Macaca mulatta: one gene and its partners. The protein of the gene in region 4 interacts with the protein of the main gene of each other region in a pairwise test. Links are inferred from orthologs where the notes say so. Each region holds a gene or a part of one and is shown on either strand. Other genes may lie near its edges.

Region 1 (4,029 bases), on a different chromosome or scaffold from region 4:
AATGGGCGTTTCACCATGTTGGCCAGACTGGTGTCGAACTCCTGACTTCAAGTGATCCGCCCGCCTCCGCCTCCCAAAGTGCTGGGATTACAGGCGTGAGCCACTGCGCCCGAATCCTATCGGAAATTTTTAAGTCTCAGGCGTTTGCCAGCGGCACGCCAGAGAGTATAGCCTGCACCGAGGCCCAGAAACCAAAGAGCGAGCTCATTCCGGGATTGGAGAGGAGTGTGAGCGGAGGGAAGCAGAGGGATCAGAGAGAGGAGGGGCAGGACCCACGCATTCGGCCCTTTGCATTCAGCCTCATTCAACTAGGAACTTTTCCTGCAAATCAAGCAAAGCTTCCCGGAGGAAGTGGTGCCTAAGCTGCGCTCTGATTCTCGTTTAGAAGCTGACAAGACAAAGAGAGGTGGGCGGTCCTGGCAGGGGGAGGGACTCGGCAAAAACCAAGTACCTTGAGAGGGGTTGATGGGTTTTAAAAACTTTGAATGATTATGTCAAAGGCTAGGGATTTAATGTGTTGACTGCGGACTCCTATTCCTCACTTGCTTGGGGACCCCAGCGATGCCATTCCTCTCTCTGGGCCTCTCACTGATTCAGTTTTTCTCCCAGGTAATGAGCACAAGCTCCCTTTTTCCTCGAGACTCCCCCCGGGTTGGGAGGATCCACCGAGTGGACTAGGCGTGATCGTTCCTTTGAGCCAATCGTTGGTGCCTGAAGCCCCGCCTTCTTCCCCACCCGTGGGCCAATTGTCGTGTTCTCCTTGAGACTGGCCGCTTGGCGAGGGTGAAAGGCCGCGTGACGTCACTTCCGGATAAACCAATGGCAGCGATTAAGAGGCGGGTCGTTTTGGTGATGGACAGTTGTTTCAAGACGCCCCTTTAGCGCGGGGCTCCCCGGGAAGCTTTGAGGCGGTGCTGGGGGTAAAGGGGCGGGCATTCCTCGTGGATTTTGCCCAATCACCAGTCGCGCTTCTTGCAATAGACGGGCAGTTTTCCCCATCTCGGGTCGACTTGAGGGGGCGGGATTCTGGACGCCAGTGTTGGCAAACCCCTGACCTATGATGGACGTATTCTCCAGCCAATTATCAGACGGTATTCTCAGACGGGCCGCCTCCATTGCCAATGAAATCTTCCAGCGGGGTCGCGGTAGGCGGGCCGTGGACCCTCTGGTATAAGGCGGTCCCGGGGGAGTGAGGAGAAAGGGGGGGTCTTGGCGGCTGGAGGAGGAGTAGTTGCGGGTGAAGATGGCGGCAGCCGAGGCCGCGAACTGCATCATGGAGGTGAGCGCTTGGAGCGCCGCCGTGGGCGGGGGTCGGCTTTGGGTCGATGTTTCACGCCTCTGTGGTGGGGAAAGGGCTCTAAGTTGGCGACATGGGGTTGGAGGTCCCCCGCCGCACACGGGGGCGCCGCACGCTCCACATCCGGGGATATCGTTTGAGGTGACGGCTCCCTAGCTTTCAAGGGCCTTCGGCATCCGGCCTAGCGGAGGGTCTTATCCCCCCTCCCACGTGGAGGAGGGCTGGGGGCGCTTCCGGCCAGGCCCCCACGTGGCCGCGGCGCGGTGGGTGGGGAGGGGGTGTGCCGAGTCCGGTGGCCCGGCGGGCTCCACGTGCGGGACAAAGGCCCCGCCCCCGGCCGGGGAGGGGCGCCCGGGGGGGCGGGGAGGGGGTCCGACCCTCCTGAGGCCCCCAGCCCTCCTACCCAGGGACCCGGGCACACGTCGTGGGGTGGGATCGACCTGGGGCCCTCCACGATGTAGAGTGTCTTTTGGGAGGAGCAGTGCCTTTTACAACCTCCTTCCGAGCTCCAGGGGCATCTATTGGGATATCGGCCCTGGATTTGTGCGTTCTGGATTAGGGACTGGAGGAAAACCAAGAATGGGGCCCCCCTGACCCCATTTCCCCTCCTAGAGTTCTCCCCCTCACCCAGGGCTTTAGGTGTTGGGGGATGGGGCATGCCCCTGTGACCTCCCTCTGGGTGGTGGTGGGGCATCTAGATGGAGATTTTCCCACTAATAGGCGCCGTGCACCCCCTTGTGGCCATTTCTGGGTGTGTGGGAGGGACATCTTTTTCATGGGGCGTGTCCTGAAGCCCACCTCCCGTCGGATTTCTTCCTGGAGGGCGGAGGGAGGAGGGTACGTCCGCTGGGAAGGAGTTGTGGGAAATACGTAGGCTGAGAGCTTTACCCTCTGCTGGAGCGCTTTCTCTCTCCTGGGCCTTTGTGAGGGCGGGAGATGACCTCCCCCTTCCTGAAGCCCTGTGTAGGGGTCCTGAGCCCCGGGGTCCTGAGGGTGGGTGCCTGAAATGGTTTCAAGTGAGGTTTGGTTCTCGTGCAGCCATGTGGGGGAGGTTTCAGTCTTGCGTTTTAAGCCTTCGGGCTGGGGTTGTCTGGCAGTAGTTTTCAGTGGTGGTGATAAATGGGCCCCAGCGGGAAACCCCCGCAGCACCTTTCTTATAGGCATCCCCGCTGGCTTGGGAGAGCTGGGGGGAGGGTGTTTGGAGCCTAGTAGGTCATGGCCAGTGACGTGGCCCTTCTTGGAGTGGTCACATCTGGAAGAGATGTAATCTGATGGGGCCTCTGTCCTTCCACCCCTTTACCCATGGCATTGACTGGGGGGGCAGGTCAGCTGTAAGCTGTCAGGATGCAGCTCCCAGGGGTCACTGTAATGACTTCGCACCCTCTTGGCTGTCTCCTGCACCTGGGGCTCTGTGGGCGGAGGAAATAACTTTCCCAGAGGTGGCCTCAGGCTTGGCCGCACCTGGAAGTCTTCAGGACCTGGGATGGGTGTCTGAAATGGGGGCGATGGGCTGACTCCCCAAGCTACTTTTTTTTTTTTTTTTTTTTTTTTTTTTTGAGACGGAGTCTTAATCTGTCACCAAGGCTGGAGTGCAATGGCTTGATCTCGGCTCATTGCAACCTCCGCTTCCTGGGTTCAAGCGATTCTCCTGCCTCAGCCTCTTGAATAGCTGGGATGACAGGCACCCGCCACCAGGCCCAGCTAATTTTTGTATTTTTAGTAGAGATGGGGATTCACCATGTTGGTCAGGCCGGTCTCAAACTCCTGACCTAAGGTGACCCACCCGCCTCTGCCTCCCAAACTGCTGGGATTACAGGTGTGAGCCACCGCGCCCCCAAGCCACTTTCTGGAGCCCGCTCATTCTTAAGAGGGTCCAGGAGCTGCCCATCCTCCATGGGACCCTACCTTCGTGGGCAGAGGGTCATAAGGGAGCGGGTTGGTTCCAGCTGGTTTTGTTTGGGGCTCCTGAGTCCAAGGCAGGAGCTGGGGGCTGGGGTACTAGCTCTGGGGAAGTGCCCGTGTGCCACACCTCTATTCTGGAATCCTCTCAGACATGAGACTGGTTTGCAGAGGTGGCAGATGCCCTGTGGGCATACCCTGCCAGCCTCGTTCCCTCCTGCTATTCATGGCACCCTGGGATAGGGGTGTGTGTGTCAGGAAGTGTCACCTAATCTGGGGGAGATTAGGTGATGAGAGGGAGCGACAGCTGGCGGGGGTGGGTGCCAGTTCCCCTGGCCTGGATGGGGGAGGTGTGTGGTCAGCTGCCTGGCCAGAGAGGGGCAACAAGGGGGCAGGCCACCATCTCTCCAGCCACAGCTGGGATAGGAGACCCCCTTTCTTCTCCCCTCACTTTTCCCATCCCTTTCTTAAACACCCCACCTCATTACTTGCCCTCTTTGCCACCACTCCCCGCCAAGAAGGAGAATTGCTGGAAACCCCACCCCCCCCACCCCCCCCCACCCCGCCAGAGCCCAGGTCCCCGCGCCCAGCCCTCCCGCAGCCACTCCCAGTAGCTAATCCTTTCTCCCTGTTACTCTCTCCTAGAATTTTGTAGCCACCTTGGCTAATGGGATGAGCCTCCAGCCGCCTCTTGAAGAAGTAAATATCCTTTTGTGAGACCCCTTCCCACCCCGACCTCCACATCAATATATTTTGCCACACATCTGGCCCTTTCTTGAGGTCTAACCATACCCCTCTTGCTTCAAACCAGTTTACTGCAGGACCCCAAACAC
Region 2 (3,500 bases), on a different chromosome or scaffold from region 4:
TCTGAATCAACCGGGGGCTCTGGTTCAGATGTGTCCAATAGGCTGTAGGGATTACTGTCTGGATCCTTCAGCACTGGTCAGAGGAAGAAGAGGAGAAGGTGGCATTCAGGTGCCCATCATCTTTTGTTTTGGCCCATATTCATGAACCCAGCTGTCTGGTACCTGAGCTAATAGATGAAGAATTATATCTCGAAGTGGGCCGGGGGGCAGGTGGGGGTCCCCTACCCCGGCCCCCAATCGGCCGCCTCCGGCTTTCTTCCCCTCGGGTTGGGGGATCCCTGTCGCCAGGCCCAGCTCGGTTGGGTTCCTCTCTCTTCTCTGACTCAGTCTCTGAAGCTGTAGACACATCTGAGCTGGGGCCTGAAGAACACAGTGGGATTTATTCACGGCCATTCGTCCTACCTCAGGATCCATCACATTCCCCAAAATGGAAGAATTCTCCCTCTCACTCACAAGTCCCCCAGCCAATCAATCACTTCTTTATCATCTCCATCCCAGATTTCCCCAAACTTCCATCCAGACCTCTGCCTCTACCCACAAGCCCTGCCACTCCCTGCCTCCTGTTCCCAAGCTGTCTCACCATAGGCAGGACCGCCTGTCCTCCGGCCACGGCCACGGCCCCCATAGCTGCCCCCATAGGTTCGAGTCGCATGGAGGGAGGAGGAGGAGCTCTCATCGGTGCTATATCCAGCCTTGTCACTGCCACCGCTGCCCCGCCCACTCCCAGGAGGGCGAAAGCCCAGCCCAATCTGCCGAAGCTGCTCATCAATTTGCAACCTCTCCAAGCGAAGCTGCTCTACCTCCTGGTTGGGTAAAAGACGGAAGAAGAAGCGAAAGGAGAAACAAGATCAGTGCCTTTCTTCATGCTTCTCCACCCTGACTGTCCCTCTATATCTAATCTCTTAGGAATGCAAGGAGAAGGAAGACGCTGGCTAAACAAGGAAAATTCTGGGACCCAACCCTATAGCCCCAAATTTCCACAAATGTTTTCTGTTCTACATGGAGAGACAAACAGAGCACCAAAATTCCTGAGTTGACCCCCACAGCAGTCTTAGTTCAAACCCTTTCCACACCCAGCTCTGTCCTCTCCCAGCCTGGGTACCTGCAGGTAGGAAAGGTGATACTCCAGCAAAGCCTGGGCATTGCTGATGTTCTCTCGGGTGCCAACAAAAATGAAGGGAACCATTCCCTGGAGAGCAGAGAGCAGAGACGATGGATCAGAAAGGAAAATGAAATGGAAGGATTAACCCCGCCCAGTGTCCTAGGGGAACCTGCCCAGTGGGATCATTCTGGACTCTAAATCTACTAGGGTTAAACAAGTTTCCGTACTCCACCCTCTCAAAGGACAATCCCAGCCCTAAGAGGACAATCCCATTTACTTCTGGAAACCAATCTCTATGCCCACTTGCCCCGTACCCATACCTCCTCCCTGGGGTTCTTCTTGTCATTATCCCCTTCCACTCGAACCCTCACCACACCAGATTTATCCACAATCTCCTGGATCACTTTCCCGTTCTTTCCAATCACTTTGCCTGGAATAAGTAAAGGAGGAATTAAGCCTTTTTTTTTTTTTTTTTTTTTTTTTTAGGAAATAAGAATAAAGCTGATAAACCGTCTTCCAGCCTCATTTTCTTTATATGGATTCCATTTACTTCATTCTCCTGCTTCTAGTTTTCTGATGTGTTTTTACAGGACAAAATGTTACAATCCCTAGAAATTTATTCTTTCATTTTTATCACTCCCATTACAGACTGTTTCTCTGTCCTTGTGAAACTGAGAGTCCACAGGGAGGTGCCAATCCTGGATACAAGCTCAGAATCACTGTAGAGAATCTTGATTCTGACCTCTAACTGTATATACACGCCACCAACTCACCAACCAGGTTCCTGGGCACTTGCACTGAGTCCTCAGAAAACTCCAGGTAGCTTCGGGCCTGTCGGCAAGCCTCGGGAGTCTAAAGGAAGAACAGCGGGGAGTTGTTACTAAAACAGAAGACCAGCTGGGTGAGGTGGCTCGTGCCTGTAATCCCAGCACTTTAGGAGGCTGAGGCAGGCGGATAACTTGAGGTCAGGAGTTCAAGACTAGCCTGGGCGATATGGTGAAACGCTATCTCTACTAAAAATACAAAAAATCAGCCAAGCATGGTGGCTCACGTCTGTCATCCCAGCTACTCAGGAGGCTGAGGCAGAAGAATTTCTTGAACCCAGGAGGTGGACATTGCAATAAGCTGAGATTATGCCACTACACTCCAGCCCGGGCAACAGAGTGAGTTAGACTCCGTCTCATAAAGAAATAAATTAAACAAATAAATAACTTTAAAAAAACAAAAAAAACAAAAAAACAGAGGACCTTGGCCAGCCACAGTGGCTCACACCTGTAATCTCAACAGTTTGGGAGGCTAAGGGAGGACTGCTTGAGGCCAGGAGTTAAAGACAAGCTTGGGCGACACAGATCTGGTCTATTTTTGTTATTTTTTGGTCTCACTCTATTGACTATATTGCCCAAGTTGGTTCAGTGGCACCATCATGGTGTATTGCAGCCTCGACTTTCTAGGCTCAAGTGATCCTCCTGCCTCAGCCTCCCAAGTAGCCAAGTAGCTGGGGCCACAGATGCATGCCACCATGCTCAGTTAACGATTTTTGGTTTTCTTCGGGGGTAAAGACAGGGTCTCTCTATGTTGCCCAGGTTGGTCTCAAACTCCCAGGCTCAAGCGATCCTCCCCTCCATCTTCCCACTTCAGCCTCCCAAGTACCTGGGACTATAGGTACGCACCACCACTTCCAGCTAATTTTTAAATTTTTGTAGAGATTGGGTCTCACTATATTGCACAGGCTGGTCTCAAACTCCTAGGCTCAAGTGATCCTCCCACTTCAGCCTCCCAAGGTGCTGAGATGACAGGTGTGAGCCACTGTGCCCAGCCTGAGGCTTATTTTCTACTTCGGCCTCTCTTCCCTCTATCCACTAAGAGACCCAGAAGAAAGACATCCTTTGCTGACCTCCCCATAGATGCGGAAAGTGCAGGTCTCTTCACCCAGCTCAATGGCAGTCACCCCAGGTACTTTTCGGGCCTGCTGGATGTTGGCACCATGAGTCCCAATTGCCAGTCCCATCAGGTCCTCTCGCACTGTGAACTCCTCTTGGAAGGCTGCTGCCAACTGCTTGCTTGTCTGAAAGGAAAAGTCACTGTAGGAATCATGGTGGTAGAATCTCAGAACACAGTCCCAGGCACATGACCCTTAGCATAACTTCAATAAGGAAAACTATGTGATATTAACAGAAAGCTAGAACCACTCTGGAGTCCGCCGACCACCAGGACCTGTGTGGAAAGGTCAGGAACTTTTTGTTTTTCCTTTGAGACGGAGTTTCACTCTGTCGCCCAGGCTGGAGTGCAGTGGCGCGATCTCCGCGTCTCGAGTTCAACTGATTCTCATGCCTCAGCCTCCCAAGTAGCTGCGACTACAGGTGTCCACCACCACTCCTGGCTAATTTTTGTATTTTTG
Region 3 (3,500 bases), on a different chromosome or scaffold from region 4:
TAACTTGAAATATTGAATTCATACTTATGTTGTCTACTGGCAAACATTATATAAAATTTGTGATAATTTAAGATTAGATTTACAGTTAAGTGTCACTGATGTTTTTAAAAGATCACACAACCATATGAACGTCTCTGCAGCAGCTTAGTGATGCCGGGCCAAAAGATGGCCTCACGCACCACTTACGGGGCAGCTCTGTGCTGCCACAGACACTGGGGTGCCAGGAAGGCTACAGGGCAGATGCTCATGGACATCACAAAGGTGAAATAGGAAAGTCTGAGGGAATGAAACAGGGAACATCAAAACACAAGTATTCCAAATATATTTCTCTTCTTTAAGAAATATCTTTAAAAATCAAATTTGGGAAAAGAAATGTATGAAATGCAAAACAAAATCTTACATAGGATCGATCCTGAGCCTCTGATACTCTGGACTGTTGAACAGGATTAGTTCTAAACCCCAAACTTTCAAGGCATTGCTTATAACCTGTTAAGAAAAATAGTAACTTTTCATAAGCCAAACCACTCCATTCCAAATTGAAGAAGTATAGCTATGTCAGTTGTGTAAACACTTTAAGAAGTATAGCTATGTTAGTTGTGTACCTCATATATAAATTTCTCTAGAAGGCTACAGGTTTTTTTTTGTTTTTTTTTTTGTTTTTTTTTTTTAAGACAAAGAGTCTTGCTCTGTTGCCTAGGCTGAAGTACAGTGGCATGATCTCGGCTCACTGCAACCTCTGCCTCCTGAGTTCAAGTGATTCTCCTACCTCAGGCTCCCGAGTAGCTGGGATTACAAGCATGCGCCACCACACCCAGCTAATTTTTGTATTTTTAGTAGAGACAGGGTTTCACCTTGTTGGCCAGGCTGGTCTCAAACTCCTGACCTTGTGATGTGCCCGCCTCGGCCTCCCAAAGTACTGGGATTACAGGCATGAGTCACCACGCCCAGCCGGCTATAGGTTTTCAAAAGTGTGTGTGTGTATAGATATATCACTAAATCCATAAAAAACATACACATATATATTAGAAGAGTGCTTTTCATACCAGGTCTCTGAGATGTTCCAGAAAACCACACAATTCCTACATAAAACTGTCTCAAAAATCCAGATGTATGTATATTCTACCCATAAGTGCTATTCTTAAAACTAGTCTACTATATACATCTGGTAATTTGGCTGCCGTGGGTGCTACTTTAGAAAATGTATATTCAACTTACTACTTGCAATGTCAGAAATCGTGTCTACCAAAATAAGTTCTCCCTGGGCACTTAAACTGAAGTTTCCATAGGTATCAGACTTCCAGGGTCATGGGCTTGCCACTTGTAGAAAAAAACAAAATGCAAACCTGATTATTTCAATCTGTCTGACAAAAAATGGGAAATTTCTGAAAATTCACTATCTACCCTCCAAGGTAGCCAACAAAGAAGCAAGTCAACCAGGTACCGGCAAAGACAGAAAGTGAGTGCAAGGCAGTGGGTACCAAGAGCAGCAAGGCACAAATAGGAAACGCCAAGTGCTGGGCCTACTCTGACCTCTGATTCCAGCCCTGCAGTAGCCATTACCTGTTAACAGTGGCACGGTAAAGCACTAGATGGAAATGCTGGTGGATGAGGAGGAGTCCAGGAGGGCAGTACAAGAGAAATACAAACAAAGGTATCTGCAGAGATAGGTCGCTCAGGAGAGGTTCTGAAAGACCTCTGGATACAACTCACAGTGTCAGAAAAGAATGAAAGACATGCAGATAAAAGAATCTTTCAAGTACATATATATAACCACCAAAGAACTCAAAGAGAAAAATCAAAAGCCACAGACCATAATAAGGAAATCCAGTCTGGTAGGCTGATTTAAAAGGATGGTAGCAAGGTACTGCATTTTCTTAAGTTTACCCAACAAATGGTAAGTTTGAGACATTGGGACTTATTATAATTAAGGGTATTTGGTTTTCTTTGAGACAGAGTCTTGCTCTGTCACCAGGCTGGAGTGCAGTGGTGCGATCTTGGCTCACTGCAACCTCTGACTCCCTGGTTCAAGCGATTCTCCTGCCTCAGTCTCCAGAGTAGCTGGGATTACAGGCTTGCATCACCACGCCCAGCTAATTTTTGTATTTTTAGTAGAGACAGGGTTTCACCATGTTGGCCAGGATGGTCTTGATCTCCTGACCCTGAGGTCCGCCCACCTCGCCCTCCCAAAGTGCTGGGATTACAGGTGTGAGCCACCATGCCTGGCCAGAATTAAGGTTATTATTAGCATCCAGATGCAAATTAAATAATCTTTCTCAAAAAGGAATTTTTAAATGCCCCACTCTAATATGAAGATTCTACAATCCTTTCATGTTTATCTATATAAAAATCTAGTACTCTAGTTGGCCGGGCATGGTGGCTCATGCCTGTAATCCTAGCACTTTGGAAGGCTGAGGCAGGTGGATCACAATCTGGTGATCTAGAGTATAATCTTATACTCTGTAGACATGATCTATTAGAAGAACTTCTGAAGGTCGCCTTGTTATAGTGACTATTGAAAGGCTGTGAAACGGGGCCTGGGATGTAAGCAACACATAGTAGATGCTTGTGACTACTTACCTGAATAGAGAAAAAACCACTGTCATCCATATTTCCAGAAGGCTGCTGTTAATTTTGACAGGTAGTTGAAGCACGCGTGGGGGTGGGGAAAGAAGGATACAAACTGTCATTAGCGTGCATATTTAAAATAACATCTTTGCATTTCCATTTCCAAAGTTAACAGTGCAGTTATAATTCACCAGTCAGATCCCTATAGGAAGAATGGCACATCCTTTTCTAAATAGTATCTACGTTTTTAAAAGAAATGTAAGCCGGGTGTGGTGGCTCACACCTATAATCCCAGCACTTTGGGAGGCTGAGGCAGGTGGATCACGAGATCAGGAGTTCCAGACCAACCTGACCAACATGGTGAAACCCCGTCTCTTACAAAGATACAAAAAATTAGCCAGGCATAGTGGCGTGTGCCTGTAATCCCAGCTACTTGGGAGGCTGAGGCAGGAGAATTGCTTGAACCCAGGAGGCGGAGGTTGCAGTGAGCTGAGATTGCGCCATTGCACTCCAGCCTGGACAACAGGGCAAGACTCCGTCTCAAAAAAAAAAAAAAAGAAAATGTGACTTAGTGAGTTTAACATCAGTACCTGTAAAAACGTGCGATAATCTTCACTAGTAACTCCTCCTTCTGCCATTCTCATCCTCTCCTCCTCATCCAGCTGATGTGCAATTGAGGATAATTCCACAGGGCTAAAATATTCTCCTTGCAATAAATTATTCAGGCAATGTTGAGCACAAAGTGAGCCTTCTTGCTAATATTTCCAAAAGAAAAAATTAAAATGTGACTTATTAAACAGAATTGCACAGTATTTTCCCCTAAATAATTTAATCATTAACTTTTCTTTCTTTTTTGAGACACAGTCTTGCTCTGTTGTCCAGGCTGGAGTACAGTGGAGCACTCTCGGCTCACCACAACCTCTGCCTCCTGGGTT
Region 4 (4,015 bases):
TTGACAGCTCTTTATTGCATCCACTTCACGCAATCCAAAGCCAGCCTCACAATCCCTCGGGCGGCCTGAGAGAGCTTTGCTGAATCCATCTCTTCACGTTGGCTTATCTGTCTACCCCTCTATACGTTAGTGGACTACTTTCTTTCCTTTGTACACACTCGTAACTCAAAACCCTGAATCACCAAGAGGATCAAATCAACTGCCCAAAGGCTACCTATAATGAAAAAATAATTTGTTCATGGCAATCTTAAAGGCATTTTCAATAGCACTACAAGTCATACTCTCTGTGACATTAAAACTAAATGCAAATCATTTCTTCCACGTGGCATATACAAAATATACACAGCAATGAATCATTCAATATCAAATATTTTAATCCACGTTTTGTTAAGGTCTTTGAGAAATGATTCTAAATCACCGACATGTAAGTACAGTTTGCAAGACGACTTTTACACAATAGCAGTTATGTAAAACATAAAACTGGCAAAGCTGATATGGAACAACTAATGACCTCTTAACAGTGAGAAACCAAAGGATTCGGCCCTATACTAACTGGTGGGCTATGGAAGGTAGCAAATTTGTTTCATGAACTTACGTTTATCTTCCTAGAGCACACAAACATCACTGGACCTCAAACAAGCTATTAGGTTGGTGCAAAAGTAATTGCGGTTTTTGTCATTAAAATGGCAAAACTACAATTACTTTTGCACCAACCTAATACAATTACAAACTGGTCAGATTATTCAACAACCGTGTTTGTTTTTAACCCCCAAAAGTGAGCCAAAGACTTCACTAAAAATCACTTCACTGTGATTGAGGGGTGGGGGTTCTAGACTGCAGCGAGTCTTTTCTACATGAGATACACACGAGGAGAGAAAACCTCTATTATTATTAACCCAAGGCAATGCTTTAACACTTTACAGCAGTCACTATGGAAGTTGCTTCACACTACCTGAGTTGAAGTCAGCATGGGACAAATTTGTGGAATGGTTATGCAGGAAGGTCAGAAAGGCTCAAAAGCTTAACAGGTCTAGCCTAACTTCTGTATTTTACAGGAAAGGAAACTAAGGCCCAGATTACTTATGTGACTCTCTGAAGGCCCCCCAGCCAGGCCTAATGTGTTTACTTTGTGTCAACAGAAACCACAACTGTAATTCTAATACAGTACAAGCACATGGTAGTTACTAGTGAACAAGGTTTGAACAAAGTTGACTGAAAAAAAGACATGTCCGGCCATGCAAAAATGTCAACGCACACGTTATGCCTTTTCAGGCTTTTGCAGAGGAGAAGAGGGTGGATAGGGCACCTAGGAAACCACTTTCCACCAGGAGGTTTAGCTGTGGTATTTCAGAGTCCTCTCTTCTACAGGCCTTCTTTGGTATCCCAGCAAGAACACCCAACACTTACCTGTTTACTGACCACACAGATGGGGTGAATTCTTAAACTGTCCTTAAGTTGCTGGATTCTGGACTCTAAAAACTCTGGAGGGTCCAGAGCTTTTCCCGTCTTCCCTCTCATCTTCTCCCACTGTCTCTAAGGCCTGGAATCAGGTGGCCTGAGAATACCCCCAGAGGCAAAAATGCTCCAGCCTGCCAATTTCCGCGGGTTAGTGTACCCACAGCTTGCGAACTGCAGGTGGTGGCTAGGCGACACTCTTAAATGCTCCTTCCATCAATGACCACTCTACTCCCATTTAGGAGTTCCCATCCGGGGCTTGCTTTCAAGTGCCTTTAAGATCGCCTCTACTGGCCTCTTTTCCCTCACCTCTGTCGACCTACGAAATCAACAGGCCTGCCGGCCTAACGCAGGCGAATAAACGTGCGAGACCACTGCTGAAATATAATTCAAATGCAGGCTCGGCCTTTTGTTCCTCCTAGGTCAGAGAGGCCAGAAATACCTTCCTGGTAGCATTCTCGTCTCTCGATCCAGGCTGGTCTTATTATACAACGGATGTCCCTCGGCGTTTGCAGAAAAAGGGCCCTGGGAAGCCACTTAATTGGTTTTGGGGGAGGGGAGGGCGTGAATTAATAAATAACGATAAAAATAGAGAAACCCAAAAAAGTGGCAAACTGGGGGCCCTGGAGGAGGGAAGCACATTCTGTCTAAAGCCCAGGAGGGCAGAAGTTCGGCTTGGGGCTGGAAGACGCCGAGGGGGCAGTTCGGCAGCGCCAGACGCCCCAGCCGACTGGGCCTTAAAGATGACGGGGCTCCCGCTCATAGGCCGGCACCCCTCGGCCCACAAATCCACGGTATCTTTCTTTGCTTTTTTCCCTGGTTTCTCGGGAAACCCTGAAAACGCGGAGGGAGGCCTCACAGGGATAGCAGCCTGCGGCCTCCCCGGCGGTTTCACAGTGACCGGCTCGAGGCCTGGCCAAATCCTCCGCTTCACGCAGGGCCTCGAAGGCCGCAGGCCCCGCCCACGTGGCGGGAGGCCCGGAGCGCAGGGCGCGAGGACCGCCACACAATGGAGGCCAAAGCGGGCCCCGCGCGCCACCGCCGCAGCGAGCCCCCTGCGCGCCGCGGGCGCCGGAAGATTCCAGAACCGGCCCGCCCGGTGGGGGGAGGGGAGAGGAACGCGGATCCCCGAGCTCGTCGGGTCGCGGCGGGTGCCTCAAACCCCTCTCGGCAACTCCACTCAGTCTTCCCAGCCAAGCCCAGAGACGAACGACCCCCAGTTTGGGCGTTCCGGCTACCGCCAGCGCGACCGCAGTTCCACCATACTCACCCGTGGACGCCATTTTCTCTCCTTCCTCCTCGTTCTCTCAACGTCCGTCTCCCTCTCGCTTTCCCTCTAGGCGCCGCAATGCGCAGGCGCAAATCCCGCAACCCCGGGCGCGACCATCAGGCCAGGCCACGGGGGTGGGGTCAGGAGGGATGAACCACCGCTTTCTCGTTCTTCGCGTGCGCAACCCTTGTCCCAATCCTCTCTAAAGAGCGCCCGACGTGACACTCGGGCCAAAATAGCACCTAAGGGGCCAGAGCGCCGGTGAGCGGGTCTCAGTGTGAAACCGGAGAGGCTCTCTTCACGAGGCTAGGTTGTTTGGAATGGTTCCGTCCGCTGGCTCTAGGGACCGTCGCTGAAGAGTCTGCCCTGCAGGCAGACGGAGATCGGCGGGAGGGCTGGGGGAAGGGACCCGGACTAGAACAACTGCTGACTAATCCGCGGGCCGCGGGGAATGGGTGGCGCGCCAGCCGGTCGGCCGGGGTCACGCGGCCGGGTGTGCGCGGAATGGATTCAGGGTTCCCCGATCTCGCCCGGGAGCTAGAGTCCCGACTCCCAGCCCGGGTCCCCGACCGGCGTTTCGGGGTTGCTGGGCGCGCTCTGCAGTGAGTACCCGGGACGCGTGGCCCGGGCCAGCGGGGAAGGGCCCCGAGGCCGGTCGGCTAGGTGGGAGGCCTCGAACGCCGTTTCTGGCCCCGAGACCCCGTCTCCGGTAACGGTCGAGGTGGAGCACGCCCTTTAATCATCCCTCATCCAATACCCTTGTTTCTACAGAAGGGGAAACTGAGGTCCAAGGAAATTGAGTATCTTTGCAAAGTCCCCAGCTGAGTTCGAACCAGACAGATCCTGGGACCCCCTACTCTATCCGCCACCCGGAAGAATCTTCGTCCTTGTCTTTCCATTCTGCCCTCCCGGCTTCCCAGTAAGGTAGGCAGGGCCTGGTGGTGCACTGCCCGTTTCATAGATTGAAGAAAGTGAGGTCGAGGGGGCTCAAGTCCCAGTTCCGAGTGTCCACGGGCAAGCCTTTCACCCTTGCTAAGGCGCCCAGAGCTGGGGAATGGTTGTGAGGTGAGGATACAGGAGGAGGTTTACGGTGGGTGTCTTGGCCCCAAACCCTGCCTCCAGGCAAGGCTGGCCCTGCCCACCTCTCTGGACCTCTAACCCCAGCCCCCTAGCTGGATACCCGGGTCTACGAAGGGCAGGGTTCACCTTCAAATCCCTCAGCAGGACCAGGAGTCAAGCTAGTGTCCTTTTTTCAGTGAACATATATAAAGCACTGGTTGTGTGCTGCGA
Region 5 (3,500 bases), on a different chromosome or scaffold from region 4:
AACAACAAAAATTTCACCACCACCATCCCAGTCCCACAAGTCTTTTCCCCTAAAGCAGTGGTTCTCAAAGTGTGGCCCTGGCACCACCATCACCTGGGAACTTATTAGAAATACACATTCTCAGGCTGCATCCCTATAGAATCAGAACTTCTGGAAGTGGGGCCCAGCAATCTGTTTTAACAAGCCCTCTAGGGGATTCTAATGTAAGCCTGAGTTTGAGAACCACTACCCTAAATGCCCCCAAATATTTGACAGGTCCAAGCTTGCTGCGCTATGTTACTGTCATTCTAAAGCAGATCCAATCTACTAACTGCAACCCTGGGTCCACACCCGCTTGACCTGGATGCTGAATGGGAATGCTGTGCCAGATGCTCAGTCTTTGCATCTCTACCCTCACCCCCTCCAAGAGACTGTGCCCCTGGTCACAGACCAAAATAGCCTGTTTACACCTCACAAGCCCATCCACCTCCTGGCTACAGATGCAGCTGCTGGCACAGATGCCAGACCTGATGGGACCAAGCTAGAGGCCAGGCTGTGTCATTTGTTTGACCAAGAGACACAGGCATGAGTCAGCTGAGGGGAGCTGAGCTGCAGGGTTTTATGGGATGGGAACCCAAGTGGGCATTATGGAAATCCACCATCTTGTGTAAGCAACGTGGGGAAGAGAGGTCATGAGTTATGCTGGGAGGGGCAGATGGGCAGCCAACCTTTCCTCCCTCACCTTCCGCTCACCCCAATAGGGCACAGGGAGGAGCTCTGACATTGGATCTTATAGCTCCCTTTCCTGGTGGCCCGATCGTCCTTCATTTCCTGTCAGGATCCCTGTATAGTTTTCAAGAATCCTCTTTTTGTCTGAGCTAGATTGAATGGGTTTCTGCTCCCTGAAGTCAAGTGAACCTAATATAAATGGAGCGGGCTTTCCCACTAGCTATGGGCCACCCACTTCGAAAGCATGCCTCCAGTCATCAGTGCTGACTTCCTGTGTCATCGTGAGATGACTCAGGATACTAGAGCACTTGGGCTAGCAAGCACCGTGCTGCTCAATCATTTCCATTGTTTCTCAACTTTCCTTCGGCAACACTGACCAATTAGCCAAGATATATAGACACAGAGGAGAATTCAGAACTGGAGAAGGACACTCCTACTTATCAGCATCCATAGTGCCAAGGATGTCTACCTGAGAAAGTGTCAGTGGGCAGAAGTTTAAGGTCACAGGCGCCCCCAGGCCTAAGGGGCCTGTGGTCACGGCACCTGCAAGAGCTGCATAACCACCCTCCCAGCCTAAGGAGCAGCTTCTAGGCTAGAGAAGAGGGGTGGCCATGTTCTAACACCATTGTAGCCTGAGCAGTCCTCCTCCTAAGGGGCTACAGAGCAGCCAAATGCCAAAGTCAAGTGGGCCACCTTCCCTGTCCTTGCAATAAATGGAGAGGGTTTCTTCTTCCACTGATAACCATCTGGACAAATCAGGAAAAATAGCCCCAGGGACTGTCTCAATCCAAGGGGAATGCCCATCTAAATGTCCATTACCAGATGGTGTCAGTGTCCAGAAACTTCACGGCTGCCCGGATCAGCTGATCCTTGTTTCTCTGGGTTGGGTTGTCCAAGGATGTGTTGCACAATGTGGTCTGAATCAAAGGCAAAAACCACCCTGTCACTGCCTGTGGGGCTCAGACAAAAGCCCTGCTTTCCTGAGGACACCTCATCTGACACATAGCAGATAGCACCACAGCACAGCCCTCCACCAGAGGCATCTGCACTACCGGAGCAGCAGCACAGCTACTGAGAGTGTGCCACAGCCAGGCTCCATGCCAAATGCTTTCTGTCGATGCTCACAGGACTTGAGGGAAGCTTGCAGCAGCCCCATGATTAGTGAACCTCCCCACAGTCACATTATTACCAGGTTCTAGTGTATTTAATCCTCACAACAACCCTTTGGAATAGGTACTATTATTATGCCCATCTGAGATGTGAAAACTGAGGCCCAGACAGGTTAGGTTAAGTACATCATCAAATACAGTTAATAAGACACGTATCAGTGATGGAGCGCAAATCTGACGGGAAACCTTTACCAGCTGCCTCCCTTACACCTTAGAAAGGAGGGAAACAGACCATGCAAATCAGGACTAAGATTATTTGTTTTGGCCAAGTGTGGTGGCTCATGCCTGTAATCCCAACACTTTGGGAGGCTGAGATGGGTAGATCACCTGAGGTCAGGAGTTCAAGACCAGCCTGGCCAACATGGTGAAACCCCATTTTTATTAAAAATACAAAAATTAGCCAGGCATGGTGGTGGGCGCCTGTAATCGCAGCTACTTGGGAGGCTGAGACGGGAGAATTGCTTGAATCCAGGAGGCGGAGGTTGCAGTGAGCTGGGATTGCACCATTGCACTCCAGCCTGGGCAACAGAGCGAGACTCTGTTTAAAAAAAAATATATATATATTATTTTTTTCCAGACTTACCTTGTCAATAACAGGCTGCTTAGGTTACCCTATTCGTTTGTAGCCCCAATCACCCCAATTTCACTAGGTTGTCAAGGATTAGGCCAGCACCTCAGCAGGCTGTGATGTTGGCAGGAGGCCCATGTGAGTTTGCAAAGGTTGAGCACAGCAGCGACTGGGATGACAGCAGCTGACTCCTACACTGACTCAGTGCCCAGTCAGTGCTGGGGACCATGCCAAGGGCTTTCTTGCATCATCTCATCTCATCCTGACCATGGCTCTGTGAGGTGGGTACTATTATCACTCATCTTTAGGAGATGGGGAATACGGGGCTGTGAAAGGGGCAGCAACCTGCCCAAGGTTACAGTTTAGAAGCTGCAGAGGCTGGACCAATGAGTCTGGCTGGGCCCTTCCTTCCCCAGGCAGCCTTGGTGCCTAGATGAGCCACTTTGGTGTGGACGAGGGGCTCTGGTTCTATAGGGAGTCTTCCTCACCTCACCCATCTGCCTCCAGTGGGTCTTATAGTCAACTAATATTTATTAAGTACCAACTAAACTACCTGCTAGTGGCTGTCCAGATACTGGTGAGTAAAACAGACATGGCTCCTGCCTTTCTGTTGCTTACCAGGCAGTAGAGACAGACAGACAATAAATGTGCAAACATAAAACAATTATAAATTGTCTAAGTGCTGACAAAACAAATGGCCAGCTGCTGTCATAGAAAATAAGAGAGCTGGGGAGTCAGTGAAGGTGACATCTGTCCTGAAACCAAAGGAGAAACCAGTCATCCAGCACAGTGTTCCTAGGAGAGAGAACTGCAAGTAGCCAGGCCAGACAAGGAAAGAGTTTAGCACATTAGTGACTCGAGAGGAGGTGAACACCTGGGGCCCAGGTAGGCAAAGGACCATCCCCCAGGGCCTTGTCAGAATTTGGTAAGGGATCTACCCTAGGAAGCCCTGGGTGGGTCTCAGGGTCCAGATTCGCACTGTGAACTTGTTACCAGGTGCATGGTGTAGTACTTGATGGTATCCTGCTGGGAATCCCATTCAGTGGCCACTGCAA
Region 6 (3,500 bases), on a different chromosome or scaffold from region 4:
TGCTGGGGCTCTAAGGATGGACGCCCAGCCACAGTCCCAGCCTTCAGGAAGTAAAAACCACGGGGTTTGGAGTCAAGTAGGCCTGTGTTTGAGTCTCGGTGCTGCCCCTTCTTGGTCGTGTGTCCTCGGGCAAGGTCTTCTGCGCTGGGTCTGTCTCCCGCTTGTAAACCAGGGTCATAAGAGTATCTGCCTCAGCAGGGTGTGGTGGCTCATGCCTTTAATCCCAGCACTTTGGGAGGTTGAGGCGGGTGGATCACTTGAGGTCAGGAGTTCGAGACCAGCCTGGCCAACATGGCGAAACCCCGTCTCTACTAAACATACAAAACTTAGCCAGGTATGTTGGCGCATGCCTGTAATCCCAGCTAGGCAGGAGGCTGAGGCATGAGGATCATTTGAACCTGGGAGGTGGAAGATGCAATGAACCGAGATTGCGCCACTGCACTCCAGCCTGGGCAACAGAGCAAGATGACTCTTTCTCAAAAAAAAAAAAAAAAAAAAAAAAAGTATCTGCTTCTTTGCCCTGAGATGAAACAAGGTGAGTTTTCTGTTCAATGCCTGGCACAAGATATGTGCTATTAGTACTTTTATGGTTACCTTACCATCATCCCCACTTTACAAAAGGGGAAACAGAGGCTCAGAGAAGTGACTTGCCCACGATCGCTGGGCTAGTAGGTACCAAGCTGGCACGGGAAGGCGGGTCTGCCTGACGTGAAGCTCCTGTCTACCCTGCCTCTGAGAGCACTCCTGATTTTCCTCACTTCTGTGTGAAGCTCTGTTCCGGGGCACCTGCATCGCCTGTATACCAGGAGCTGCCAATCACTGAGGCATCTCCGCGGAGGCCTACCTGGCTGTCCCGCGTGGGGACGGCCAGTTGGGCAGGGTTGGGGTGGCCCCCCCGACAGCCTGCCTCATACCGCGCCCCGCGCCAAGCTCAGCACTTTTGACAAATGAGCTGACAGGCCTGATGGCCTGGTGGCAGCCCCGGGTGCCTCTCAGCAGCCCGATGGGCTGGATGTGAGAGAAGACTTCTGGGGGCCGCTCTCTGCGCCTGAGCGCCAGGTGTCACGTTGCCGAGGCAGGTTCCAGACACCTGTCACATTCTGATCCAAAATCTGTCAAGGATCAGATGACAGGTTGTGACACAGGAGAACAGTTCGCTGGTTTGAGTGCAAAGCTGTCCAGCAGCCGAGTTGCACATTTCAGCGGCTGCCACAGCCAAAAATACACACAATGTATAATCAACGTGCTGTTCTGCGGCATTCTCCAGGGGCTCGACAGGGTGTATTTTAGGCAGTATTCTATCATTATTAATTTCCTACTCGGGGAGGACTGCGCTCCCTCCTCTCTACGTGGAAGGAATCGAGAGCTAGGAAGACAAAGACTGAGGGAATGAGGGCAGAAACGCAGGAATTCAATGGAGGCTCTACCCTGGCACATAGTAGGTGCTCACGACAGATCTGTTGAATAAAGGGACAGACAAGTCTGTCAGCTGGACCCCTGGCTCGGCCACTTACTAGCCGGATAACCTTGGGGGAAGTCCTCCTTCAGACCTCAGTTTTGACATCTGTGAAATAGGGGTAAGACACCTACTTCACAGGGAGGTGGGTGTGAGGATCAAGTGAAAAAAATGATTTGTAAAAAGCTTTTAGTGGCAGCTTCCACTCAGCACAGGGGCTACAGACTCGAATGCCCACAGGGGGACCGGGAGGCACCAGGCAATGACTACAGAGTAGGGGGGACTGTGGTGACATGGAGATCGCACACCCCTCTCAAAGGGGTCCCCTCCTGTCCCTTCACTGATGGCTGCTGCAGAGCCCCGGCAGCTGGGGACCACTCGATCCTCTCACTCCGCAAGGGCAGCCAGCTGGCTAACATCAGCCCATATTCACCAGGCCAGCTAGACTGTGTCCAGGGGCAGCCTGGACCCTTTGCTTCCCTAAGCTCATGGCACACCAGACATTGTGCTTGTGTGTCACCCATGAGACTCCAAGTGTTCTTTTTTTTGTGAGACAAGGTCTCACTCTGTCGCCCAGGGTACAAACTTGAACTCCTGGGCTCAAGTGATCCTCCTGCCACAGCCTCTCGAGTAGCTGGGACTATTGGCACGCACCACCATGTCTGGCTAACTTTTGTATTTTTTGTAGAGACAGCGTTTCACCGTGTTGCCCAGCCTGGTCTCGAACTCCTGGGCTTAAGCGATCCACCCGCCTTGGCCTCCCAAAGTGCTATATTACAGGTGAGCCACTGTGCCCGTCTAATCTGAGCATTCTTAAGACACTCCAGCGAGGCCACACATCCAGCAGAAGTAGAGCTGGGATTCACACACAGGCCTAACCACACCCAAAGTACGAGGTCACAACCTGTACACTAGAATTATGCAAATGGCAGTGGATGGGGTTATGATGATGAAAAAACAATTTTAGGACCTGTCTGACCCAAAGCAGGCAGTTGACAAGTAGTTGTTGAATGCACCCATGAAGCAGGAGAAGGACCAAGTAAGAAGTCACGCCTGCACCGACAGAGCTCTGTTATCAGCCACATCCCCATCTACCTACGTGGGCCGGAGCTCCTTAGACGTGACCCCAAACCTGTTCCACTGCACTTAGCACGAGCCAGGCCCTGACCTCCTTCCCTGCTCTCTCCCAATTACTCAGAATCACCTGGGAAGAGGCCTGAAAATAACATACGCTTGTGTGGCACACACAGACCTGGGCCCAGGCCAAGGGCTTCTGAGAGCACAGGCCAGAGGCAGGGCCTGGCCTCTATGTGCTGGCTTCCAGGGGATTCTGAGCACAGCCAGATTGCAGAGCCACTGCCTTGGACAGTGGTGTGGACTCAATAACCCTGGTTCCTGCAGACAGCCTCTTACTTCCAGTACGAGGTACTGCTCTGGGGCTGGAGCCTCCCCCATCTCTCCCAGCACACGCTCACACTCCAGGGAGATGGCATCTATCGAGGTCAGGAGTGGGGCCACGATCTCTGGGAACTAGAGAAAAAAAGAAGGAATGGCTGGTGAGGCCTGGGGGAGGCAGATGCAGCACAGCTGCCCCAGCAGTGGGGTGGAGGGAGGAGGTGTTCCCACAGCCTGCGCCCATCCTCTGGGGAAACCGCCTCTCTTCTGGGCCTGGTTTTTGCCTTCCCAGCTGCAAAGTCAGTGTGTCTAACGAGCCCGATCACTGTTGTTTTCCTGGCCAGGCTACAGGTATGGATGGTACCTTCCTTTCTGCCAAAACCACCTCTCTAAGGGGCCTCAAGGCCCACCACACCCCCTAGAATCCATCAGCCAGAGGGAAACCTGGAAAATCCAGATGTAACTGTGTCCTGGCCACCCTGAAACCTGCCCGGGAATGGAACAAGAGTCACCTTGAGCAGCCTGTTTCTGACGCCAGCCACGAGGGTCCTGGTATTGCGAGGGACTTTGGTGTTGGTCAGCAGGATCTGGAGAGCCGGCGGCCTGCAGGGTGAAGAGGAGGAAGGTCCACACTGAACTCAAGGTGGAG
Region 7 (3,981 bases), on a different chromosome or scaffold from region 4:
AACCTGCAAAACTGCTTTGCCACATGGAGACCAAGCACCCTGCGTTAAAAGACAAGCCTTTGGAGTTTTTTTGTTTTGTTAAAACAAACAAACAAACAAACAAAAAAACAGAAACCATGAAAACATGAACACAAAGAACACATAGAAGCAATTATTGAAGGCCACCACGTCATCAAATGTGTCTGCACTGACAGCATCAGTATATATTACAATGTAACAATAATAGAAATAAAGTGCACAATACATACAATATGCTTGAATCATCCTGAAACCGTCTGCCACTCGACCCTGGTCCATGGAAAAATCCTCTTCCGTGAAACTGGTCCCTGGTGCCAAAAAGGTTGGGGACCACCGGTTTATCCAGGGTCATCCAGGTTGGAGTAGGGTCAGGAGATATGGGGAAATTTAGGTCAAAGAATTCAAAGTTACAAACATGTAGGATGAACAAATGGGAAGACCTAATGTACAACATGAGGGCTATAGTTAATGATCGTGGTATTCAGGATTTATGCTAAATGAGTAAATTAGAGCTGCTCTTGCCCCAAGGGGGGAAATGTGTAATTATAGGAGTTGATGGATATGTCATACGCATAACTTAAATACAGACAATAAAAACTATTTTAGTTTAAAAAGGAACAATATTTATTAAAAAATAAGGTGAGCTCTTAAAAACATTTAAATAACTGCCTAAAAAAATAAAAAATAATATCACATAATTTAATAGAAGGAAAGAAAGAGCAAGACAGCAAGAAAGAAAAGGCACCATAAAAAAAAACAATTTTGACCACTCCTCATTTGTAGTCTAAGCTGCCTCTGCTTCCTTGCGTTGAAAAGCCACGGGCTTCCGAGGGATGGAGGTCAAAGTCAGAGTAAAGAAAGTTCCCGGGGGAGGCCACTCCCCAGCTGATGACTTTCCAGTTCCAGTTAGTGACAGAGTCCCAGTTCCTCTCCTTAACCACCGGTCAAAAGTCTCTGGAGTCTCTCCAATGAGCAAGAAAGCAAGTCGGGGGTAGGGGAGGGGCCTCACAACTGGTGGTGGGTGCAGTCCCTCCTCCAGCTTCTTCATCCTGCAATAGTCCCGCGGGTCCCCCGGCGCGAACGCGGGAACCAGGAAAAGGAAACCGCGTTGTGTACGTAAGATCCAGGAAACTAAACCAGTAGCCGCGGCTGTTGGCGCAAGGGTTACTCGCAGACCCTGTTCCGGCTGATTTCCGAGAAGGTTGCGCAGTAGCCGTGCCTTGCAGTCTAGAGGCGCAGGAGAGGAAGCCACCGCCTGACCCCGGCTCTCTAGACCTCGGCTCTCTCGGGAGCGGAAACAGCGGCAGCCACAGGTGCGCGAGCGGCTTTCTCTGCCGCCTCCCCGGGGCTCGGGCGCGAGAACTGCGCGGAGCCTGCGCTGGGGCCAGGGCCGGGATCAGGTGTGGGGGCCAACTTACGGGGAACGGGCGCGAGGGCCAGCCGGTTGTGTTTGCTGCTCTGGGGGTGGAGGATGTGGGGTGAAGGCTGGGGCCAGAAATGCAAGAGACCTCTGAAAGGGACCCTGTAAGTGGAGCAGATGCACGGCAAGGGGCCCCAGGCGGCCCAGCGGCACCTGGGCTCACCCAGAATCATTCGAATGAAAAGGGGTGTCCTGCCTGAAAACGCCTCGCGGGGCTCGGCTTCCCCTTAGCTACACTGCTCTACAGGCAGAGAGCGGCGCTGAATCCTGGGCAGAGACTGGGCTCGGGAGCATGTGCCAGCATAGTGGGGCTATTAGAAGGGACGGTTAATACAGCCTGCAAGCTGGCATTTATCAGTAAGTATTCACTGAAGTCCGCCTGGAGCCCACATCTATGCTAAACCCTCTACAATACTAGCTTGGAAAAGATAGCGGCGGTATCTAGCACGGTTCCTAAGACCATTAGCTCCAGTCAGGCTCCCCGACTTGAAATTTGGCCTCTACTGCTTCACATCTGTGGATTGTCAGCCACTTTCTTAATATATATTCTTTCCATTGCCTCATCTCTGAAATTGTGTAACTATTAAAAGAGCTACAGAGTATTATATGTGTTAATGTAAAGTTCTTAGAGCAGTGCCTGGCACTACAGAAAGTACTCAGTGAAAGTGAGCTTTTATTATTTTAAATATTTGACAAAGTTCCTGCTTCTCCAAGCTGACTCTCCGGTTCCCATGTGGTTTCATTCATGCACTGTTATTCCTGGAAGTCTTGGCATGGCCACTTCCCAGTTCCAGGAACAGGCAGTCGTTGTTTTTTTTCTGGCTTATCACATTGAGATACATGGTTACTACAAGTGACACTTAAACGTGTCAGGCAGTTTGGGGCCTCCTTTCTTGAACTTTTCCTAAGAGCAAACTTTTCCCTTAATGCCACCCTGTTTACAACCATAGTAGGGCTTTGAACAACGAGAAAATGCAGGGAAATGAAAGACATATAAAGGGAAATGAATGGATTTCTGCAGTTGGATAGCAAAGTGGCATGTGAAATAGCTGGTTTATAGATCAAACTGCCTTTAGATCTGTAAAGGAGCTTAGAGTACAGGTGGAGAGACATCAAATGTGTGCGAGCAGACGCTTATGTACCTCTCCGTCTTCATCTCTAAGAATGTCTCCCTCTTCTGCTCTGTAACCTCACTGGTCTTCCTTTCCTTGAATGAGGCATGTTCCTCCAGCTCAGGAATTCTATCTATGAAGTTCCCTGTCTCTATAATGCCCTCCAACACCCCACCCACCATACCTCCGTAGACTAGTTGATTTGAGATTTCCTTCAGCTCCCAGTCTGACTTTTCTTAAACCCCCTACCACTGTTTAAGTTAGTGTCCTGTAACCCTTTCTTGTAGCAACATTAATTTTATTGATAGCACTTAGAGTGTTTATAATAATCTATTACATTCTTAATTGTCTGTCTCCCTAGTGTCTAGGTATTGTGCTCTAGTGCCTGGTATAGTGCTTTGCATGCTCTATGCCTTCAATTAATTCCTTAAAAACCACACCAGCTTTATATTTAGTGAATATTTATATAGGAAGTATTTCTATATGTATATATGTGTATCTGTGTATATACACACTCTATAGCACTACCCTGAATAGTGCTAAATTAAAAAGCCAAAACACTTTTTAGTTAATCAGAACTAACAGTTGCACTCTTCAGTTTTCCATATGTTCTTTTAATAAGTCATTAGAAAAAAATGATGTCTCCATATGTTGTCTGCTGCTGTAGCAGAATACCTGAGACTTGGTAATTTATAAAGGACAGAAATTTATTTCTTACAGTTCTGGAGACTAGGAAGTCCAACATAATCATGTGTTGCTTAAAGACAGGAATACATTCTGAGAAATGCATCATGAGGCAATTTGGTGGTTGTGAGAACATCATAGAATTTACTTACACAATCCTGGATGGTATAGCCAGCCTTCTATTTAGGCTGGGGTGGTGGCGTGGGGGGTGTTGAGGAGAGTCAGATTGAGAGCTGAAGGAAGTCTCAAATCAATTAGTCTATAGACGTGTGTGTGTGTGTGTGTGTGTGTGTGTGTGTGTGTAGTGGTGGAGGGCATTATAGACAGAGGGAACTTCACAGGTAGAAGTCCTGGGCTGGGTGTGTGTGTGTGTGTGTGTGTGTGTGTGTGTGTGTAGTGGTGGAGGGCATTATAGACAGAGGGAACTTCACAGGTAGAAGTCCTGGGCTGGGTGTGTGTGTGTGTGTGTGTGTGTGTGTGTGTGTGTGTGTGTGTGTAGTGGTGGAGGGCATTATAGACAGAGGGAACTTCACAGGTAGAAGTCCTGGGCTGGGGGTGTGTGTGTGTGTGTGTGTGTGTGTGTGTGTGTGTGTGTGTAGTGGTGGAGGGCATTATAGACAGAGGGAACTTCACAGGTAGAAGTCCTGGGCTGGGGGTGTGTGTGTGTGTGTGTGTGTGTGTGTGTGTGTGTGTGTAGTGGTGGAGGGCATTATAGACAGAGGGAACTTCACAGGTAGAAGTCCTGGG

Evidence for each region.
Region 1: the proteins of EWSR1 (region 4) and PRMT1 interact in a two-hybrid assay, tested with the Homo sapiens proteins (2 studies listed by BioGRID and IntAct). The link is inferred for Macaca mulatta from reciprocal best matches to the Homo sapiens genes EWSR1 and PRMT1.
Region 2: the proteins of EWSR1 (region 4) and FXR2 interact in a two-hybrid assay, tested with the Homo sapiens proteins (2 studies listed by BioGRID and IntAct). The link is inferred for Macaca mulatta from reciprocal best matches to the Homo sapiens genes EWSR1 and FXR2.
Region 3: the proteins of EWSR1 (region 4) and ATXN3 interact in binary tests that used the Homo sapiens proteins (3 or more experiments, as listed by UniProt). The link is inferred for Macaca mulatta from reciprocal best matches to the Homo sapiens genes EWSR1 and ATXN3.
Region 5: the proteins of EWSR1 (region 4) and ATPAF2 interact in binary tests that used the Homo sapiens proteins (3 or more experiments, as listed by UniProt). The two-hybrid records come from large-scale screens. The link is inferred for Macaca mulatta from reciprocal best matches to the Homo sapiens genes EWSR1 and ATPAF2.
Region 6: the proteins of EWSR1 (region 4) and MVK interact in a two-hybrid assay, tested with the Homo sapiens proteins (2 studies listed by BioGRID and IntAct). The two-hybrid records come from large-scale screens. The link is inferred for Macaca mulatta from reciprocal best matches to the Homo sapiens genes EWSR1 and MVK.
Region 7: the proteins of EWSR1 (region 4) and PLSCR1 interact in binary tests that used the Homo sapiens proteins (3 or more experiments, as listed by UniProt). The two-hybrid records come from large-scale screens. The link is inferred for Macaca mulatta from reciprocal best matches to the Homo sapiens genes EWSR1 and PLSCR1.

What each region holds. Positions count from the first base shown.
Region 1 is NC_133424.1:62,129,659-62,133,687, forward strand, and holds the start of PRMT1 (protein arginine N-methyltransferase 1), read left to right. Parts: upstream 1-1,229; 5' UTR 1,230-1,243; coding exon 1,244-1,279; intron 1,280-3,841; coding exon 3,842-3,895; exon of another isoform or gene 3,896-3,899; intron 3,900-4,029. UniProt on the Homo sapiens protein: Arginine methyltransferase that methylates (mono and asymmetric dimethylation) the guanidino nitrogens of arginyl residues present in proteins such as ESR1, histone H2, H3 and H4, FMR1, ILF3, HNRNPA1, HNRNPD, NFATC2IP, SUPT5H, TAF15, EWS, HABP4, SERBP1, RBM15, FOXO1, CHTOP, MAP3K5/ASK1, MICU1 and NPRL2.
Region 2 is NC_133421.1:9,081,700-9,085,199, forward strand, and holds part of FXR2 (RNA-binding protein FXR2), read right to left. Parts: intron 3,168-3,500; coding exon 2,997-3,167; intron 1,955-2,996; coding exon 1,876-1,954; intron 1,617-1,875; exon of another isoform or gene 1,533-1,616; coding exon 1,423-1,532; exon of another isoform or gene 1,190-1,422; coding exon 1,103-1,189; exon of another isoform or gene 804-1,102; coding exon 581-803; exon of another isoform or gene 361-580; coding exon 163-360; exon of another isoform or gene 74-162; coding exon 1-73. UniProt on the Homo sapiens protein: mRNA-binding protein that acts as a regulator of mRNAs translation and/or stability, and which is required for adult hippocampal neurogenesis. Specifically binds to AU-rich elements (AREs) in the 3'-UTR of target mRNAs.
Region 3 is NC_133412.1:165,340,782-165,344,281, forward strand, and holds part of ATXN3 (ataxin-3), read right to left. Parts: intron 3,321-3,500; coding exon 3,156-3,320; intron 2,623-3,155; coding exon 2,578-2,622; intron 487-2,577; coding exon 401-486; intron 1-400. UniProt on the Homo sapiens protein: Deubiquitinating enzyme involved in protein homeostasis maintenance, transcription, cytoskeleton regulation, myogenesis and degradation of misfolded chaperone substrates.
Region 4 is NC_133415.1:22,286,369-22,290,383, forward strand, and holds the start of EWSR1 (RNA-binding protein EWS), read right to left. Parts: upstream 2,801-4,015; 5' UTR 2,739-2,800; coding exon 2,726-2,738; exon of another isoform or gene 2,720-2,725; coding exon of another isoform or gene 2,694-2,719; exon of another isoform or gene 739-2,693; intron 660-738; exon of another isoform or gene 1-659. UniProt on the Homo sapiens protein: Binds to ssRNA containing the consensus sequence 5'-AGGUAA-3'. Might normally function as a transcriptional repressor. EWS-fusion-proteins (EFPS) may play a role in the tumorigenic process.
Region 5 is NC_133421.1:19,594,443-19,597,942, forward strand, and holds part of ATPAF2 (ATP synthase mitochondrial F1 complex assembly factor 2), read right to left. Parts: coding exon 3,439-3,500; intron 1,626-3,438; coding exon 1,528-1,625; intron 1-1,527. UniProt on the Homo sapiens protein: Plays a role in the assembly of the F1 component of the mitochondrial ATP synthase (ATPase).
Region 6 is NC_133416.1:116,753,281-116,756,780, reverse strand, and holds part of MVK (mevalonate kinase), read right to left. Parts: intron 3,455-3,500; coding exon 3,364-3,454; intron 2,987-3,363; coding exon 2,870-2,986; intron 1-2,869. UniProt on the Homo sapiens protein: Catalyzes the phosphorylation of mevalonate to mevalonate 5-phosphate, a key step in isoprenoid and cholesterol biosynthesis.
Region 7 is NC_133407.1:49,526,796-49,530,776, reverse strand, and holds the start of PLSCR1 (phospholipid scramblase 1), read left to right. Parts: upstream 1-1,181; 5' UTR 1,182-1,331; intron 1,332-3,981. UniProt on the Homo sapiens protein: Catalyzes calcium-induced ATP-independent rapid bidirectional and non-specific movement of phospholipids (lipid scrambling or lipid flip-flop) between the inner and outer leaflet of the plasma membrane resulting in collapse of the phospholipid asymmetry which leads to phosphatidylserine externalization on the cell surface.